Linked DNA regions of Oryctolagus cuniculus. The protein of the gene in region 4 purifies or fractionates together with the protein of the main gene of each other region. This does not show direct contact. Links are inferred from orthologs where the notes say so. Each region holds a gene or a part of one and is shown on either strand. Other genes may lie near its edges. The genes, in order: HSP90AB1, CDC37, GTF2H4 and CDK7.

The links.
Region 1: the proteins of CDK7 (region 4) and HSP90AB1 purify together in Homo sapiens (affinity purification with mass spectrometry; 4 studies listed by BioGRID and IntAct, counting the BioPlex papers as one, with this or other methods). This does not show direct contact. The link is inferred for Oryctolagus cuniculus from reciprocal best matches to the Homo sapiens genes CDK7 and HSP90AB1.
Region 2: the proteins of CDK7 (region 4) and CDC37 purify together in Homo sapiens (affinity purification with mass spectrometry; 3 studies listed by BioGRID and IntAct, counting the BioPlex papers as one, with this or other methods). This does not show direct contact. The link is inferred for Oryctolagus cuniculus from reciprocal best matches to the Homo sapiens genes CDK7 and CDC37.
Region 3: the proteins of CDK7 (region 4) and GTF2H4 purify together in Homo sapiens (affinity purification with mass spectrometry; 7 studies listed by BioGRID and IntAct, with this or other methods). This does not show direct contact. The link is inferred for Oryctolagus cuniculus from reciprocal best matches to the Homo sapiens genes CDK7 and GTF2H4.

Annotation. Positions count from the first base shown.
Region 1 is NC_091436.1:125,879,414-125,883,095, forward strand, and holds the end of HSP90AB1 (heat shock protein HSP 90-beta), read right to left. Parts: coding exon 3,675-3,682; intron 3,565-3,674; coding exon 3,250-3,564; intron 2,972-3,249; coding exon 2,806-2,971; intron 2,652-2,805; coding exon 2,461-2,651; intron 2,354-2,460; coding exon 2,206-2,353; intron 2,121-2,205; coding exon 1,852-2,120; intron 1,499-1,851; coding exon 1,165-1,498; intron 1,073-1,164; coding exon 963-1,072; 3' UTR 915-962; exon of another isoform or gene 878-914; 3' UTR 700-877; downstream 1-699. Other genes in the region: SLC35B2 (adenosine 3'-phospho 5'-phosphosulfate transporter 1), read left to right, coding at 1-134. UniProt on the Homo sapiens protein: Molecular chaperone that promotes the maturation, structural maintenance and proper regulation of specific target proteins involved for instance in cell cycle control and signal transduction. Undergoes a functional cycle linked to its ATPase activity.
Region 2 is NC_091447.1:67,013,801-67,018,669, reverse strand, and holds the start of CDC37 (hsp90 co-chaperone Cdc37), read right to left. Parts: upstream 3,298-4,869; 5' UTR 3,199-3,297; coding exon 3,097-3,198; intron 1-3,096. UniProt on the Homo sapiens protein: Co-chaperone that binds to numerous kinases and promotes their interaction with the Hsp90 complex, resulting in stabilization and promotion of their activity. Inhibits HSP90AA1 ATPase activity.
Region 3 is NC_091436.1:139,556,692-139,561,457, reverse strand, and holds the start of GTF2H4 (general transcription factor IIH subunit 4), read left to right. Parts: upstream 1-1,731; 5' UTR 1,732-1,952; intron 1,953-2,562; 5' UTR 2,563-2,565; coding exon 2,566-2,705; intron 2,706-3,002; coding exon 3,003-3,107; intron 3,108-3,730; coding exon 3,731-3,862; intron 3,863-4,171; coding exon 4,172-4,268; intron 4,269-4,361; coding exon 4,362-4,450; intron 4,451-4,664; coding exon 4,665-4,766. UniProt on the Homo sapiens protein: Component of the general transcription and DNA repair factor IIH (TFIIH) core complex, which is involved in general and transcription-coupled nucleotide excision repair (NER) of damaged DNA and, when complexed to CAK, in RNA transcription by RNA polymerase II.
Region 4 is NC_091445.1:90,220,469-90,225,148, reverse strand, and holds the start of CDK7 (cyclin-dependent kinase 7), read right to left. Parts: upstream 3,015-4,680; 5' UTR 339-3,014; coding exon 273-338; intron 1-272. UniProt on the Homo sapiens protein: Serine/threonine kinase involved in cell cycle control and in RNA polymerase II-mediated RNA transcription. Cyclin-dependent kinases (CDKs) are activated by the binding to a cyclin and mediate the progression through the cell cycle.

The DNA.
Region 1 (3,682 bases), on a different chromosome or scaffold from region 4:
CGGTCACTGTGGTGGGCGGGCTGGGGGTGGCTGTGGTCTTCGCTGCGCTCCTGCTCAGAGTCTACGCCCGGGGGCGACTAAAGCAGAGGGGAAAGAAGGTGGTGCCTGGGGAGGCCCCAGTGCAGCAGGTTTGAGGCAGGAGGGGCCCCGCCCACCACCCAGGCTCTCCTCTACTTGGTGGCACTGGCTCTAGGGCAAAATGTGCAGCTGGCGGGCGGGGAGCCCGAGGCAGACTTCCCCTTGGCCTTAAGTCACCTGTTTGACAGCCCTCCTGAGGGGCTTGGGGGGGTGTCGAGCCTACCTGTTGTCACCAGCGCTTCACCTGTGCTTAGCCCCTACATCGGGGACTTCCCTCCCACACCTGCGTTTAACTGTGGGGAAAAGCACAGCACAAGTGTTTGGGGCGCCAAGTGCTGCTTTTCAAGGCGGGTGACAGGGTGCTGAGGGAGCTGGCTCCGTGAGCTAGTGCAGGCTTTGGTACTCTGGAAATGTCGTTTTGCTCTTTATAATTTTATTAAATTGCTGCAGTGGACAAGTCCTGTGTGTCAGGTGACTGAAGGGGTTGGGAGGACAGGGTTGCAGGGTGGGCACCCCCACTACCCCCTTAGCTTTGGGGTGAGCAACACCAGCACAGCCCTCTGTGCTCACAACTGCTGGACACCAAAAGCAGTGCATCCACTTTACAAGGGAGAGCAGAACTGTATAAAACGGCGTCATCTTTATTTTGCATACTTTAATTTCAGAACAAAATAAACAAAAAAAACCCACAATACACAACATCCAACCCCATTGTCAAATTAAGGAGGGGATGGGGCTTGAGGCCTTTGTTTCCTGCCATAAGACACAGGACAGGAGAGAGACCACTAGACATCAGCAGGGGAGCCAGGTGGGACAGGGCCACTCAAGGCTGCTGTGGGAGCCACGGGGACACTATACAGAGGGCAGGAGTTTCCGAGGAGTTCCTAGTCTACTTCTTCCATGCGGGAGGCGTCCTCATCTCCCTCGAGAGGGGGGATCTCCTCCGGAACAGCTGCGCTGGGTTCCTCTGCTGCCACCTCATCCTCATCAATGCCTAGGAAACAGAAAATAGGAGGTTCCAACCACACAGCACGGAGGGAGGGAAGGGTGTCCCCACCCGGAACCCAGGCACTGCTCACTCCATACCTAGGCCTAGCTTGATCATGCGATAGATGCGGTTGGAGTGGGTCTGGGGATCCTCCAGGGAGAAGCCGGAGGACAGCAGCGCAGTTTCAAAGAGCAGCACCACCAGATCCTTGACTGCCTTGTCGTTCTTATCCGCCTCGGCCTTCTGCCTCAGCGTCTCCACGATGGGGTGGTCGGGATTGATCTCCAGGTGCTTCTTGGCCATCATGTAGCCCATGGTAGAGTTGTCTCGAAGTGCCTGGGCCTTCATGATCCGCTCCATGTTGGCTGTCCAGCCGTAGGTGCTGGTCACGATGCAGCAGGGCGAAGACACGAGCCTATTGGAGATTGTCACCTGCAAACAGCCAGCAAACCTCAGGTGTGTGTGGAGGTCAGCCTTACATCTTTGCCAAGCCTTAGAGACAGCTCACACCTAACTCCTGAATAAAACCACTCACTGCAGGGCCACTGGCATCACCAGCTGCTCCGCTTCAGAGCCAGCTCCCTACGAATGTGCCTAGGAAGATGGCCCAAGAGCTCCGGCCCCTGCCACCTCCCAGGGAGACCTGGAGTTCCAGGCTCCTTGGCCTGGCTTACCCCAAGCCATTGTGCCCTCTCCAACCCTGCCCTTGAATCTTGACACACACAGCAAGCACGCAAAGCTGCACCTCCAAAGGAGTGCGGAACACCTGAGCCCCAGGTGCTCACCTTCTCAACCTTCTTATCCAGGATCTCCTTCATGAGCTTGCAGAGGTTCTCAAACTTCGCCTTGCTCTCCTCCATCTTCTTCTTCTCCTCCTCGTCCTCAGGCAGCTCCAGGCCCTCTTTGGTCACAGACACCAAGCTCTTCCCGTCGAACTCCTTGAGTTGCTGCACGCAGTACTCGTCGATCGGCTCTGTCATGTACACCACCTCGAAGCCCCGCTTCCGCACGCGCTCCACGAAAGCCGAGTTGGCCACCTGCTCTTTGCTCTCCCCTGCAAGGTCATTCAATGGGACTCAGACACGAATGCCCCTGCCCTGCCCAGCCCCTGCCCGCCTCAGACCCAGACGCGCACGCACCAGTGATGTAGTAGATGGACTTCTGTGTCTCCTTCATGCGAGAGACGTACTCAGACAGCGAAGTCATCTCGTCTCCAGACTGGGAGGTGTGGTAGCGCAGCAGCTCAGAGAGGCGGCGCCGGTTGGTGGAGTCCTCGTGGATGCCAAGCTTTAAGGGCGGGAAGAGAAACCACCATCAGCTGGGCTAGAACTTTGAACGACCCACTTACCACGTACCCAAACGTGCCCCAAGGGAGAAAGCCACTCGCTCCTCACCTTCAAGTTCTTGGAGAAGGCCTCATAGAACTTCTTGTAGTTCTCCTTGTCTTCCGCCAGCTCGGAGAAGAGCTCGAGGCACTTCTTCACGATGTTCTTGCGGATGACTTTCAAGATCTTGCTCTGCTGCAGCATTTCGCGGGAGATGTTCAAGGGCAGGTCTTCGGAGTCGACCACGCCACGGATGAAGTCTGCAACCAGGCAGTGCGGCAGCTTGGTCAAGACCAGGCCAGACTGGACAGAGCCACCCGGATGCGCACACGAGGTCCGGCTTTCTCCCTGGACCACTATCTGGGATGAAGCCTGCAGCCCCCTCCAACGCCACCGGGCCAAGGCCATACTCACTGAGATACTCTGGGATCAGCTCATCACAGCTGTCCATGATGAACACACGGCGGACGTACAGCTTAATGTTGTTCTTCTTCTTCTTGTTCTCAAAGAGGTCAAAGGGAGCTCGGCGAGGGATGAAAAGCAAAGCCCTGAATTCCAGCTGACCTTCCACGGAGAAGTGCTGCGACAGGAGACCCAAGGTAAGCCAGCAGGACGCGCCAGGCCCAGGGTGCCCTTCAGTCCCAACTAGACTCCAACCTGGAATTATCGTCCCCCAAGCACTTGCGACATGATTCCTAATGCCCTAAACACACCTACGCTGGTCCCAGCTGCATAAAATCCTGAACTTCCACCAGGAGAGAAAGCCAGGTCCTCGGGCAGGGCCATCAGCGATGCTCCCGGTTCTCAGCTGGGCTACCCCCTGCCTCTCCACCCCGGCCCACTCCCAAGGCCTCTCACCTTGACTGCCAAGTGGTCCTCCCAGTCATTGGTGAGGCTCTTGTAGAACTCGCCGTACTCCTCCTGGGTGATGTCATCAGGGTTTCTGGTCCAGATGGGCTTGGTCTTGTTCAGTTCTTCCTGATCGATGTACTTCTCCTTGATCTTCTTGGTTTTCTTTTTCTTGTCCTTGCCGCTGTCATCTTCCTCATCGGAGCCCACATCTTCGATCTTGGGCTTCTCATCGTCCTCCTTATCTTCCTCCTCCTTTTTCTCTTCCCCTTTTTCTTCCTCTGCTTCATCATCACTGATTTCCTTTTCTCTTTCCTTCTCCAACTAAAGCACCCAGAAACACTCGTCAGTTTTGAGCACCGACCCTCAGGGCAAGCAAATGGCCCAGCCCACCAGAAGCACAGGCAGGCTGCCTCCGCGGGAAGCATACTCACGTAGAGGG
Region 2 (4,869 bases), on a different chromosome or scaffold from region 4:
GCGTTGTGGGGCGGCAGGTAAAGCTACTGCCTGCAGTGCCGGCATCCCATAGTGGAGCGCGGGTTCGAGTCCCGGCTGCTCCACTTCCCATCCAGCTCCCCGCGGATGTGCCTGGGAAAGCAGCGGAACACGGCCCAAATTCTTAGAGACCAGGAAGAAACTCCTGGCTCTGGCCTGGCCCAGCCCCGGCTGTTGCGGCCATTTGGAGAGTGAATCAGCGAATGGAAGATCTTTCTCCTCTTTCTCTCTCTCACTGTAACTCTTTCAAATAAAAACTCCCAGTCGTTCCGCTCCTGATCCGTCTCCCTGCTAATTCACCTGGGAAAGCAGCAGGCGAGAGCCCGAGGATCTGAGCTCTGGCCGCGCATCAGGAAAGCCAGAGGGCAGAGCTGGAGCAGCCCTGCTGTCACAGCCATTTAGGGAAGGAACCAGCACATGGACTCTCTCCTCCTCTGTCAACTCTGCCTTTCCAATAAACACGTCTTTAAAAATCCATAAATCAGGAAACCCTGGCATCGACCCCCACGGGTTGGGTCCCGGGCATACGCTTGGATCCAGAGCTAGCGAGCGGCTGGCTGGCGTGCCAATAATCCAGGAGCTGAATCCAACCCAACTGGCCACGCCTGGAATGCTGCTTCAAAAATTCATGGAGGATGGCCCAAGTGCTTGGGTCCTGCACCCGCACGGGAGACCAGGAGGGGGCACATGGCTCCTGGCTTCGGATCGGTGCAGCTCCGGCCATTGTGGCCGTTTGGCGGTTGAACCAACGGATGGAAGACCTTTCTCTCTGTCTTACTGTCTGTAACTCTACCTGTCAAATAAATAAATAAAATCTTTAAAAAAAATTTCATGGAGAAATGACATTATAAAAGATAACTTTTGGGGCTGGTGCTGTGGTTAAAGCCCTGGCCTGAAGCGCCAGCACCTTTATGGGTACCAGTTCGAGTCCCGGCTGCTCCACTCTGATCCAGCTCTCTGCTGTGGCCTGGGAGAGCAGTGCAAGATGGCCCAAGCCCTTGGGCCCCTGCACCCGCGTGGGAGACCTGGAGGAAGCTCCTGGCTCCTGGCTTCAGATCAGCCCAGCCCTGGCTCTTGCAGCCATTTGTGGAGCAAACCGGCTCCATCTCTCCTTTTCCTTCTGTAACTCTGCCTTTCAAATAAACTAAATCTTAAATTAAAAAACTTAAAAGAAGAAATGGATAATCTTTAAAATTAAATAAGTCTTCACCAAAAAATTGGCTCAGCAAAGTAAATAAATCTTTCAAAAGGCAACTTTAGCGGGGTGCAAAAAGTCTGAAATTCAGGCATATAAGTTGGATTCAAAAAGTTCACAGAAAACCAGTGCCTCGAAAGGACTATTCCTGGTTACAAATTTTTGGCAACAAAATAAGCAATATCACTTTTCTTTTTCTTTTTTTTTTTTTTTTGACAGGCAGAGTGGACAGTGAGAGAGAGACAGAGAGAAAGGTCTTCCTTTGCCGTTGGTTCATCCCCCAATGGCCACTGCGGCCAGCGCACCGCGCTGATCCGAAACCAGGAGCCAGGTGCTTCTCTTGGTCTCCCATGTGGGTGCAGGGCCCAAGCACTTGGGCCATCCTCCACTGCACTCCCGGGCCACAGCAGAGAGCTGGCCTGGAAGAGGGGCAACCGGGACAAAATCCGGCGCCACGACCGGGACTAGAACCTGGGGTACCGGCGCAGCAAGCGGATGATTAGCCTAGTGAGCCGCGGCGCCGGCCTCCATCTTTTAAAGTTCAGAGGCAGAGACAGAGTTCCCAGCTGCTAGTCCATCATCACGTCAAATGCCCACAAGGGCTGGGGCTGGGCCAGGCTGAAGCCGGGAGCCAGGAACTCAAAGCAAGTCCGCCACGTGGGTGGCGGGGGCCCAGGGCCCTGAGGCGTCCCTGCTGCCTCCCGGGGCAGTGGGAAGGGCAGTGGGAACCGGAGCCGGCAGTGGGTGCAGAGCCCAGGGCGGCGGGCAAACGCCCACCTCTCCGGGAACCCAGAGTGGCAGCCACCAGGCCACCTCTAACTTTTCCATCCCAGTCTCTGCACCAGGATCTTTCCAGAAGCGGGCGCCGCGTTAGCTCAGCTTTGCAGCGCTCAGAGAGATCACAAACCTCCCCCCACCTCGCAAACTGGAGAGGGGGCTGGGGGCTGGGCGGGCACCCCGCCCCTCCTCCACAGCAGCCGGCCAGGAAATGGGGCGGCCCCCACCCCGCTCTCCACGCCAGAGTAAAGATTAACCTCTTTACGCGACAGAAATAGTCTGGGGAGCCTTGCGGAGGTCTTAAATATTTCATAATAAATAGAACTAGAAGGGCTGGAACTTTCTTCCCACACTCCCGCACAGCAGGTGCACGCCCCAGGAGACGGCCGCTTTAAGGAAAGGTTTGGGGGTGGGCCCGGGAGGCAGAAGCAGGCCCCAGGCCACATCCCGGAAGGATGGGGCAGGGCCCTTCTAGGGCTTTCTGGATACAGGTCTGCCAGAAGGGAGGCCCGGGACGGGAATTCCTACTGGAAGCTTCTGGGAGGTGCGCGCTCCGTGCGAGCTGCGGGGTGAGCACCTCCGGGCGGGAGGATGGGTGGGAAGCCACGGGCTGCTCACGGCTAGGATTCTGGGGTCTGGCTCTGGGGGCTCTGTCGTGGGCAAATACGTCAAAGAGGGGGTGGTGACCATGGGGTCCCTGAGTTGCCAGCAGGGACCACCTGCCCGTCCCAGGGTTGATGAGGCTGGGGGCAGGGGTGAGGCGGGGTGGGGTGTCCTCAGATGCCGGCAGAGGTTCCTACAGGCGAGGGACCCCCCCCCCCGGTGGCCCTGGGAATACACAGACCGAGGGCGTCTCAAGGGTTAATAGAGACCCGTGCAGAATCCGAAGGCGGCCCCAGGGGTCGCGCGCAGGGACTGGGGGTGGGTGGGGGTGGGGGTCCCAGCGCTCCCCGAGCCCCGGCGTGGAATCGAGGGGCGGGAAACTCCAAACCGTGAGGTTGGAATCCCGGGCGTCAACAACCGCGGGGTCCCCTGGGCAGTACCCGCGGTCAGAACTCTGGAGCGGTCCCGGGAAAGGGGGCAGGGGCCGGGCACGCGCGCTCTACCTGGTGCCTCCAGCGGAAGAGGCTGGCCGTGTCGATGTTGGGGTGCGTCTCGTCCTCATCGTCGGACACTTCGATGTGGTCCCACACGCTGTAGTCCACCATCTTGCCTCCACGGCCCAGCCCGCGCCCGCTCGAGCGGCGGCGGCGGCGGCGGCGGCGGCGGCGGCGGCAGCGCTGGACACTCGGCCCGCGGAGCCCCGCCCCTTCCGCTTCCGCCCGCGCGCGCAGCCCCCGCCCGCGCGTGACGTCACATCCCTGGTAACGGCGGCGGCGGCCCTGGCGACCAAGCCCGCCTTAAAGGGACCTGCGCACGTGTTAGGGGCCAGGGAGTTCCCGCCGAGACCCCGCCTCGTTGGGCAGGGAGACTCTGCCCGGCACCTCCTGGGGGGCCTACAGGGCAGCGCGGCAGCCAGGAGCGCCTCTCATCTCCTGCCGCCCCCTCCCCGGGGGGCGTTTGCGCTGGGGCAGTTGACGAGACTGAGGGGCTGGATTGTCCCGTTGGCCAAGCCGCAGTGACATCAGCCCGAGGCCACCGCAGGGGCGGGGCCTCGACTCGAAGACCCACCCCCACCCCCACCCAGCTCCCCTGAAGGTGGGGGACTGGATTCCGGGCTAGGGAGGGGCACGAGACCCGAGGGGACTCCCCAGTTCGAGTAGGGGGGGTCGAGACCCTGCCGTGGTGGAGGGGTCTAAGCGAGCGGCGGTAAGATCCTGTCCTACGTGGCGGGGAGGGGAGGGGGTCGACGGTAGGGCAGGGTTTCCCGCGCTGGGACCACACACAGCCCCCGGTGCCCGCCACTCGTGAGAGACGACTTGCGCGCACACCCCCCCTCTGGAATCACCCAAAAGGTTTTCGGGCGCCCTGCGTGGCGTCCCCACGCACGGCCGCTGGGTGTCGCCAAATGTCCAGCTAGTGGCCAGTGCTGCTGGCCTCCGGCCCAGTAGGGGACTGGGGAGGGGCGGTAGGGGGCTTTCCTCGTCGTCCGGGTCTGGGGCTGCTCGTCGCCCCTCCCCGTTCGGCTGGGACCCCTCCCCTCGGCCAGAACGGCTTCAGGATGCCACTGCCCCGAGCTCGGGGCAGCTGGGCCGCGCGCTGCTCCACGGCTCCACCCACTCTCGGATGCAGGGATAAAAGGCCGTGTTGCAGCCTCGGGCCAGGATTATCTCAGATTAAGGGGTGCTCCGCGAGGGTCAAGTGGAGTTGGAGGAGCTCCGGCCACCTGTGTCTGGGACGCCTCTCCCCAGTTCCTCGCAGAGCCTCTGTAGATAGTGGGGGGTCCCTGGAGAGAATAAAAATCGCTCCATGGGGGTGGGGGTGGGGAGGGATTCCCCGGCCCGTTGGGGAGGGGGAGTGGCCATCGGGACCAAAAGCGCCCTCCCTCCGCCGCCCCTCCCCCTCGCTTTTCATTCAAACCCGCGAGTGGGCGGGCGGGGGCGGGGGAGTCCCCGTCGCTTCCCCCTCCCCCCCTCCAGCCGCCAGTCCAGCTCCTCCGTGGCCGTCACGGCCCGAGCACGCGCGCGCACGGACTCACACCCCGGCGGGTCTCACCGCCGCGCGCACACACTCACACTCACACTCACACACCAGCAAACAAAGGGTCTGGGCACCCCAGTCCCTTCCCGCCCCCTCCCCCCGCCGGAGAGGGCGGGGCGTCCCTTCCCCAGCCCCCTTCCAAGGTAAGCTCTGGGCTGCAAGCTGCGGTGGGCAGGGGGTGGGTCCGGCGCCCGGGAGGAGTCTAGAACGGTGAGGGGGACCTCCCTGGAGCCCCCAGG
Region 3 (4,766 bases), on a different chromosome or scaffold from region 4:
GTCAAGTCTTAATTTCTTTAACTAACATTTTATCATTTCTTTAATTTCTGAAGTTTTCTTTTTTTAAATTTATTTTATTTATTTGAAAGACAGAGTTACAGAGAGAGGTAGAAACAGAGACAGAGAGAGGTCTTCCATCCACTGGTTCACTCCCCAGATGGCTGCAACAGCTGGAGCTGCGCCGATCCGAAGCCAGAGAGCTGGATTGGAGGTGGAGCAGCCGGGACTAGAACCGGTGCCCATATGGGATGCCAGTGCTTCAGGTCAGGGCTTTAACCTGCTGTGCCACAGCACTGGCCCCATGTTCTGTTTCTTTGACTTTTCCTTAACTACTAGTGCGGTTCATGGTTTTCCAACTCTTCACAAGGCTTTGTATTTTTCCTGCTTATTGCTTGTGATCTCTTTTGCCAATCTTTTTTTTTTTTTTGTCTTTTTGCTTTGGAAGAGCCTTTTGCATTCTGTCTACTTCATCGAACATTTCTCCCCAAGCTTTATCTTTTTATTTTTGAAGTTTAACAGGCAGAGACAGACAGATGTTCCACCCACTGTTTCATTCCCCCAAATGCTCTCAATGACCTTGGGGGGTGGGAGTTTGAAATCTGGAGTCAGGAACCCCATCCAGGTCTCCCAAGTACCTGAGCCATCACCACCTGGTCCCATGGTCTGCTTTAGCAGGAGCCAGAGAAGGGTACGGAGCTCAGGCACCTTTATATGAAAAAGAGAGAGAGAGAGGGATCTTTCATCTGCTGATTCACTCCCCAAATGGCCGCAACCACCCAGGCTGGGCCAGGCCAAAGCCAGGAGCCAGGAGCCAGGAGCCAGGAGCTTCATTCAGGTCTCCCACATGCTCCCCTGCTCGCCCAGGCACATTAGCAGAGACCTGGACCGGAAGTGGAGCAGCCAGGACTGGAACTGGCGCACATATGGGATGTCGGCACTGCACGTCGTGGCTTAACCTGCTATGTTTAAAACTATTTATTAAAGGGGCCGGCACCCCATATGGATGCCAGTTTGTGTCCCAGCTGCTTCTGGTCCAATCCAGCTCTCTGCTATGGCCTGGGAAAGCAGTGGAAGATGGTCCAAGTCCTTGGGAACCCTGTACCCATATGGGAGACTCATAAGAAGCTCTTGGCTCCTGGCTTTGGATTAACATAGCTCCAGCCATTGTGGCCAACTGGGGGAGTGAACCAGCAGATGGAAGACCTCTCTCCTTATCTCTCCTTCTCTCTCTCTGTGACTCCGCTTCTCAAATAAATAAATAAATCTTAAAAAACCAGCCTATTTATTAAGGTCTTCTAACTAAACAGGGATTGGAAGCATGCTGAAAGACACTAAGACTTGTTGAATGCCCGCGAGTCAAGGCGCGTGGGATCGGGGTAGCAGTCAACTCGCGAAAGCGCTTACGCGGGGGACCTCTGACCTCAAACAATCTAGTTTTGTGCTCTCCAAGTGCCTCCCCACCCTGCCTTTTGGCGCCCTTCCACCAAGAAGCCCTCGGGGCATTTCTCTCCAGGTCCCGCCTCGGTCCACGCCGTTTAGAAGCGCCGTTAGCAGCGTGGGCGGAGAGAGGCGCGGAACAAAATGGTCCGACTTCTGGCGGCCCGGCTCGCTCAAGGGCCAGCTTGTCTCCGCCCGGCTTCCTCGCGCTGCCTTTCGGGAGTTGTAGTCAGAATAGCTTCAGTTTGCTCCGAGGTGCGTAGGGACAGGACTCCAACTCCCAGTACGCCCCGCGGCCCCCGAGTGCAGCGCCTATTTTCATCCTCCCCACTTTTCCACTCCTCTTCCTTTCCTTCTCTTCTGTTTTCCCCATTCTGGGCTGCTGTGAAATCCCTCGTTGCTCTCCATCTTTTTCTCTCATTTCCTGACCATCCTTTCCCCCATCTCCGGGACATCGGCTCCGTTTAAGTGACGGCTGGAGACTCGGGGCGAGTGAGGGGGGTCGGCACAGAGTGGTGAGCGGGCCCGGGAGGGCGGGTAGACGGAGGTAGAAGAGAGCAGAGAGGGGTGGGGAGTGGCAGAAAAGTCGGGGAGAAGAAGTCGGGGAGAAGTTAGGGGATGGGACGGTGTGGATCGGGGTGGACGCAGTGAGGTAGACTTGGGGGAGGTGGAAGTGGTGGGTCTGGATTTGAGCAGCGTGGAGAGCAGAGGTTTGTTTTGCCGTACCTCGCAGAAGAGGGGTGCGAAGTAGAGGATGGGGAAGACGGACAGAATTGGAGCTTGCAGACTGCTCTGCAGGAGGGGCGGAGGGAGAGAGTGGGCGCAGACAAGGTTCTTTGCTACCGCTTAGCTAAAGAAGACAGGTCGTTGCAACCAAAATGATTTTTGCAAGTAGAGGCCAGTTAGTAACTTGGAAATTGAGGGAAGTCTGGAGTGGTGGGCAGAAGTGGGATGAGGAGGCAGGAAAGAGGGGAGGCTGGTCAGGTTTGGAGAGACAGCAGGAGATAAATGACCTGGGAACGGACACCACGGGTATTACTGTGGGGACTGATGGATCTGGAGTCAGAGGTCAGGGGTGACCCTGGTGTGGATCGCGGGGGTGTGCGGCTAACACTTGTCTCTCAGGTGATGGAGAGTACCCCTTCTAGGGGTGGACTGAACCGGGTGCATCTACAATGCAGGAATCTGCAGGAATTCTTAGGGAGCCTAAGCCCTGGGGTTTTGGATCGATTGTATGGGCACCCTGCCACCTGTCTGGCTGTCTTCAGGTGAGGAGTTCCCTTCACGGCAGCAACTGTGGTGGAGAAATGTGGTAGGGCTGGCAGACGGCAATGAGTTATCCTGGGCAGAACCGTAGCAGCCTGGCACGGCTTGGGAATTACTCCAAATTGATGCAGATGGAACAGATGGGGGTTCTGGGGACAGCAGGACTGGTTAAGATACGTGTGTGTGTGTGTGTGTGTGTGTGTGTTTCTGGTGAGATGAGATGTTTGAGAGGCATGTCAGGCAGAGATAGAGATAGAAGGCAGCTTCTGGTTTTGATTTCTGACCTCTACCCTCTGCAGAGAGCTCCCATCTTTGGCTAAGAACTGGGTGATGCGGATGCTCTTTCTGGAGCAGCCTTTGCCGCAAGCTGCCGTAGCCCTGTGGGTGAAGAAGGAGTTCAGCAAGTGAGTCTCGACGGCACTCTCAGCCAGATACAAATTTCTCAGCAGCTAGATTTCTCAAACTGCTGTTCTTTGGCACACTCTCAGGAAATACTAATAGGTACACCACAAAGCTTGCATGCTGTGTCTTCCTTCTTGGAGAGTTGTGATGTCTGTAGCAAGGTTCTGAAATTTGTGTTTAGGGGCTGGCTCTGTGGCGTAGTGGGTAAAGCCACCGCCTGCAGTGCCGGCATCCCATGTGGGCTCCACTTCCGATCCAGCTCTCTGCTATGGCCTGGGAAAACAGTGGAAGACGGCCCAAGCGCTTGGGCCCCTGCACCCACGTGGGAGACCCGGAAGAAGCGCCTGGCTCCTGGCTTCAGATTGGCCCAGTTCTGGCCATTGAGGCCATCTGGGGAGTGAACCAGCGGATGGAAGATCTGTCTCTGTCTCTGCTTCTGCCTCTCTGTATCTTTGCCTTTCAAATAAATAAATAAATCTTTTTTTAAAAAGGAAGAAATTTGTGTTTAGGAGACAGTGACTTCACTCTGAAATGGTTCGGAAGAGGCAGAAGTGGAGCCTGTGTGGGCCTCCTTCGTTTTGTTCTCGGGACACCCACTTAGCACTCATCTCGGCTTCTGTTCCAGGGCTCAGGAGCAAAGTACGGGGCTGCTGAGCGGCCTCCGGATCTGGCACACCCAGCTGCTCCCTGGAGGCCTCCAGGGCCTCATCCTCAACCCCGTCTTCCGCCAGAACCTCCGCGTCGCCCTTCTCGGTGGGTATGTCACTTCCATCTCTTCCTAAGCCAGCCCAGGGGGACAGGTAGTTCAGCTGCCGGAGGGGGAGCTCCTGGGGGGAGAGGGAACTCCTGGAGGGGAGAGGAGACTCCTGGCGGGGAGTGGGGCTCCTTGGAGCCTTGCGGGGCCCACCTTTGAGAACTCCTTTAGGGAGAAGTTGAATCAGATACAGCTGCATGGTGTAGGAAGTGTCCCCTATGCATGGCCCTTGAGGTAAGGGTGGAGAGGGGGCAGACAGGCAGCAGGGAACAGAGCCAAGGTTCCTCACCTCTTGGTGCGTCCTGGCCTTAGGGGGAAGGCCTGGTCTGATGACACAAGTCAGCTGGGACCCGACAAGCATGCCCGGGATGTCCCCTCCCTCGACAAGTACGCAGAGGAGCGATGGGAGGTGAGGCCCCTGGGGTTCTGCGGTTCTGCGCTCGCGCCGCTGCATCTGTGGCTCGCAGAGGCATCAGCCTCTGTGTTGTCTTCTGCTCTGCAGGTGGTCTTGCACTTCATGGTGGGCTCCCCGAGTGCGGCCGTCAGCCAGGACTTGGCCCAGCTCCTCAGTCAGGCTGGGCTCATGAAGAGGTGAGCAAGCTGGAGGTAACGCGACTCCCTGCTCTGCCGTCTCTTTGGGTCCTTGGTAAATGGTGTCTGGAGTGGGACCAGGTTCGAGGGAGTTGACTGCAAAAGCAGAGCTGGGTCCAGCAGAGCCTAAAGACACCAGGCGGGAACCGGAGAGCGCTGCTGGCGGTGACGGTCCTTCCCTGCCTGTCCCCATCACTGCCCCCTGCGTCTCTAGTGCCGAGCCAGGAGAGCCCCCCTGCATTACCTCCGCCGGCTTCCAGTTCCTGCTGCTGGACACGCCCGCCCAGCTCTGGTACTTTATGCTGCAGTATCTGCA
Region 4 (4,680 bases):
AGTCCCGGGCGCTTGCTGCTCGCGCCAGCGGGGAGCCCGCGGGCCCCGCGGCCTGCACCGCGCTCGGCAGCCCCGTCCCTCTCCAGCGCGCTCCGCCGGGAAGCAGCGGGGGGCTCCCGGGTGGGGGTCCAACCTCCAGGGCACAAAACGGGGCGGCAGCTGTGTCCGGGCGGCCTCCCCACGGAGAGCGAGCGGCCAAGGCCCTCGGGCGTCCATGGAAAACCCTGCAAGGCTGTGCGCGCGCTGCTCTCCATCCCGCCCGAGAGCCTCACCTGGCCCTCCCCGAGGAAGTCCAGTTTCTCATAACGCTTAGCTCGAGACTTCACGTCCACAGCCATCCGGGAACCGAAGTCCGACTCCAGCCAAAAGAGGCAGGCGCCCCAGACAGCTGGAATTTAAAGCTGCCTTAAAGCCTCCAACAGCCCCTTCCGCTCACTGGGCTCCGACGCTTGAGGCTCCGCCCCTACTTCCGGGGTGGGCGGAGCAGCTGTTAAAAGAGTCCGGGCAAAGCCCGTCCGGACCAAAGCCGCTCAGGGCCGGGGTCGCGCCCGTCACGTGACCGCCGCGGATGCCGGAAGTGCGGCCCTTTGGGCAGCCGCTGTGTTGCTGTTTTATCGCTTCAATTTGGGTGTTGTCCTCGCAGTCGGGGACGAGTGGGCGTCCTGATGTGTTCCGCGTTCGGAATTTTCTAGGGCTGTGCGTGTGCGGATAGTTTGTGACCGCGTGCTGGTTGCTGCTCTAGGCTTTCCGGCGTCACGGTTGCTGTGGACGCCAGAACCCGCGACCTCTGCCGCGTTCTGAGGCCGAGTCGGGAGCAGGTGCACTCCCCTTAGGGAGGAGCAGGCCTAGGGAGGCAGAATCCCACTCGCCTGAGCGGAGATGGCTCGGGTACTTGAGTTCCTACCAGCGAGGTTGCATTCCAGCTGGTGGCTCTGGCCTGGCCGCTGCCATTGAGATCTGGGGAGTGAACCAGCAGACGGGCTTGCCCGTTCTGCTTCACAGATGAAGAGTGATTTTAAGTATTTTTTAGAAAGAGGACCCTGTTAGAAAATTAGTGCAACAATCCAGATGACTCTGCTTGCTTTCTACCCAATAGCATTTACGGACAGGCTGGATACGGGTTGGAGGGGGAAAGAATGATTCCAAGATCTGAGTGGAGCAGCCTGCACCACGGAAATGTTTCCTCCATTGCATCTGACGCTTCTGAGAGCCGAAATCCCGATTTCAGAGACGTGTTGAAGATGGCAGGATGCCAAGGCCAAAAACAGTGCAGTTCGTGTAATACAGCAAGTCAGCATTAGCTCCGGCATCAGACCGCCTGTAGCGGAATACCTGCCCGCCAGTATGCAATCACGAGATGGAGGACCGGGCCAAACCACCTACTACGCGTACCTAGTTTATTTCCGGCAGCTAGGTCTTGGTTGACGATAGCCATTACTGTTCTTTTTCGGTGCTTTGTCACTACCTGGCTCTAGGCAAGATTTGTACATTGCAGGAAGTGCACCGGATTTACCACTTTTCTTGGGGCAAGTCCTACCTAGAGAGGCGTGCTGTCGTGTGACTTCTGCCAGCGTTCCTTCCGAAAGACATACTTTGGTAATTTTACCTCCTTGTAGAGCTAATGAGCTAAATACGATAGTTTTACCTTTGAGGCTTGAGGTTCTCAAGTGTGCCATGTCCTACAAGTTGATACTCCATACCTTGTACCGTGCTGCTGACGATGGGTTAGCTGATACCCTGGCAATGAGGTCTGTAAATATTGAGCTTTTGCTGCACCTCACGGAGTTTATAGATCTGTTATTAGTCAAAGATGGCCATGACGACCTTGCCTTCTGCTATGGATGCCCTTGTGTCGTCCTCCCACAATGAGACAAGCTGTTCTGTACCAGTGGAACACGGCACAGCGGTGGAAGTGGGAGCAGCCATTGCTGCCTGCACGCCTGCATCATTACTACAGGGAAAGTCAGTCGTGTCAGTCCACACGCACAGCCTTCCTACACGGAGAGGAACTCCTGCCAACAACAGCCAGCATCACTTGCCACGTGAGTGGTCTACCCTGGAGATGGGACTGTCAGCTGCAGCCAAGCCTTCAGATGACTGCAGCCCCAGTAACTGAGCCATAAGGGCTTACTGTTTCCAGCCACTAAATTCTCAGGTTACAGATAATATTCTAATTTGATCCTATACTGTAGAATACTAGAGAGGAAAACTGAAACACAAATTAACCAATTTGCTGATGGTTAATTATACAAAGATTCTTCAAAAATTTCATGGATATCATTAAAAAAAACTATGCAGAATTAAAAAAAAAATCTTTTCATCAAAATAAACATTTTTGTCTAAAGATTTATTTGAAAGAGTTAGAGAGGTAGAGAGAGAGGTCTTCCATGTGCTGGTTCACCCCCCAAATAGCCACCAGTGGGCCAGAGCTGAGCAGATCCAAATCCAGGAGCCAGGAGCTTCTTCTAGGGTCTTCCACATGGGTGCAGGGGCCCAAGCGCTTGGGCCATCCTCTGCCGCCCTCCCAGGCACATTAGCAGGGAGCTGGATCAAAGTGGAGCAGCTAGGACTTGAACTAGTGTCCATATGGGATGCCGGCACTGCAGGCAGCAGCTTTAACCTGCTATGCCACAGCGCTGGCACCAAAATAAACATCTTTTAACTATTTTTCTTTGAACTTTCTGGAATACCCTTGTGTGAGTGCTTAACCCCTAATGGAAACAGACGTCCTGACTCAGCCTTGCCAGAATTCTGTCTACAACACTGTCCTTGGAGCTCATCCTGTGACAGCCATTCCCACTGACATGCTTTTGCCTAGCTATACTTGTGAATTATAAAAAAAAATTCTTTCATCAAAATAAACATTTTTGTCTAAAGATTTATTTGAAAGAGAGGTAGAGAGAGAGGTCTCCCATGTGCTGGTTCACCCCCCAGATTATACAAGTGATTTTTTTCATTTTGATCTTCGTGGCAAGAACTGTAGTAAGGACTGCCCTCAGATTCTTTTTTTTTTTTTTTTTTTTGACAGGCAGAGTGGACAGTGAGAGAGAGGCAGAGAGAAAGGTCTTCCTTTGCCTCCAATGGCCGCCACGGGTGCAGGGCCCAAGCACTTGGGCCATCCTCCACTGCACTCCCTGGCCACAGCAGAGAGCTGGCCTGGAAGAGGGGCAACCGGGACAGAACCGGCGCCCCAACCGGGACTAGAACCTCGTGTGCCGGCGCCGCTAGGCGGAGGAGTAGCCTAGTGAGCCGCGGCGCCTGCCAGCCCTCAGATTCTTAATTCCAGAATTAGGGTTTCTAATGGCACCCACAGTATTACTCTAACCGCTCTCCATTACCTGAAATCCCTTTTCTGGAAGCAAAAAATGGCCCTGGGCTTCTTGGGAGAAAAGTAAGAAAGAGCAAAAGACTAGTATGAGTAGACTGCTAGCATCCAACCCAAATTCCTATCTCTCGTTTGTGTTGGGGAACATTTACATGGGACTACAACACAGAATTTACAAGAGAAGCAGATGAACTGGAGCAGCAGATGTAAGAGTAACCCACAGGTAGCTGGGTGAAGAATTCTGGGGCCGGCTGGTGCAGCGGATTAGGGTGACATCTGTAGTGTTGGCATCCCAAAGGAATGCTGGTTCAAGTCCTGGCTGCTCCACTTCCCATTCAGCTCCTTGCTAGTGCGCCTGGGAAAGCAGCAGACGATGGCCCAATGCTTGGGCCCCTGCACTCACGTGGGAGACCTGGATGAAGCTCCTGGGTCCTGACTTCAGATCAGCTCAGCTACAGCCACTGCAGCCATTTGGGGAGTGGACCATCGGATGGAGGATCTCTCTCTGTGTGTCTCCCTCTAGTTCTGACTTTCAAGTAAAATAAATAAATCTTACCAAAAAAAAAGGAAACATGAACTCAACACTTCTACTGTCTATCGCTCATGAGCTACCACCCTCACTATCAGGATGACTTCTTTAAGCACGTTCTGGAAATCATTAAGATATGGAAGAGAATTTATTTAGCTTTGTGAGGTTTTATTTTCATAATATACATACCGTTGGCATAGGATGATCCTGTTAAAGTTTGATAAATTGCCTTAATAAAGTAAATTATTTAAGGTGAATATATGAGGTTTTAAGACATAAATTTGAGGAAGTTAATGATTACCAGGATTTGCACACATGATCACAAAGTGGTAAACCAAACAATGACTTTATCTCCCAGAATATAATAAACTACAATCTGTAGTGAAAATTATTCCTATATTCGTATCCTTATTTCATACTCTGAAATTTTTTCTGAATATAGGTTACAAATAATCTTTTGTCTTATTTACCCATTCTAATACCATGGACATCTGTTTTTATCTTGGGTATATTTTTATCATTTGGAGTAGGATATACTTATTAATAAGCCAGTTATACTTTAGTAACCTTATGACTGAAAAAATGTTAGCAAATTTAGAACAAATAATGGAGCCATTATTTCACTATTCTTCATCTAATTTCAGGAAAAGCACTTCTACAGCAGCCATTCCATCTGATAAATTCTTGTCCTGTCTAAACAGAAGAGTGAAATTACGGGAGATCTATGATCGTTTGTTTACTAGACGTTGTGTGCTTGCAGTAGTTCAACACTGGTAATACTTGATCATCACGAGTAAATTAATAGGCTAACATTTAGAAATGTATG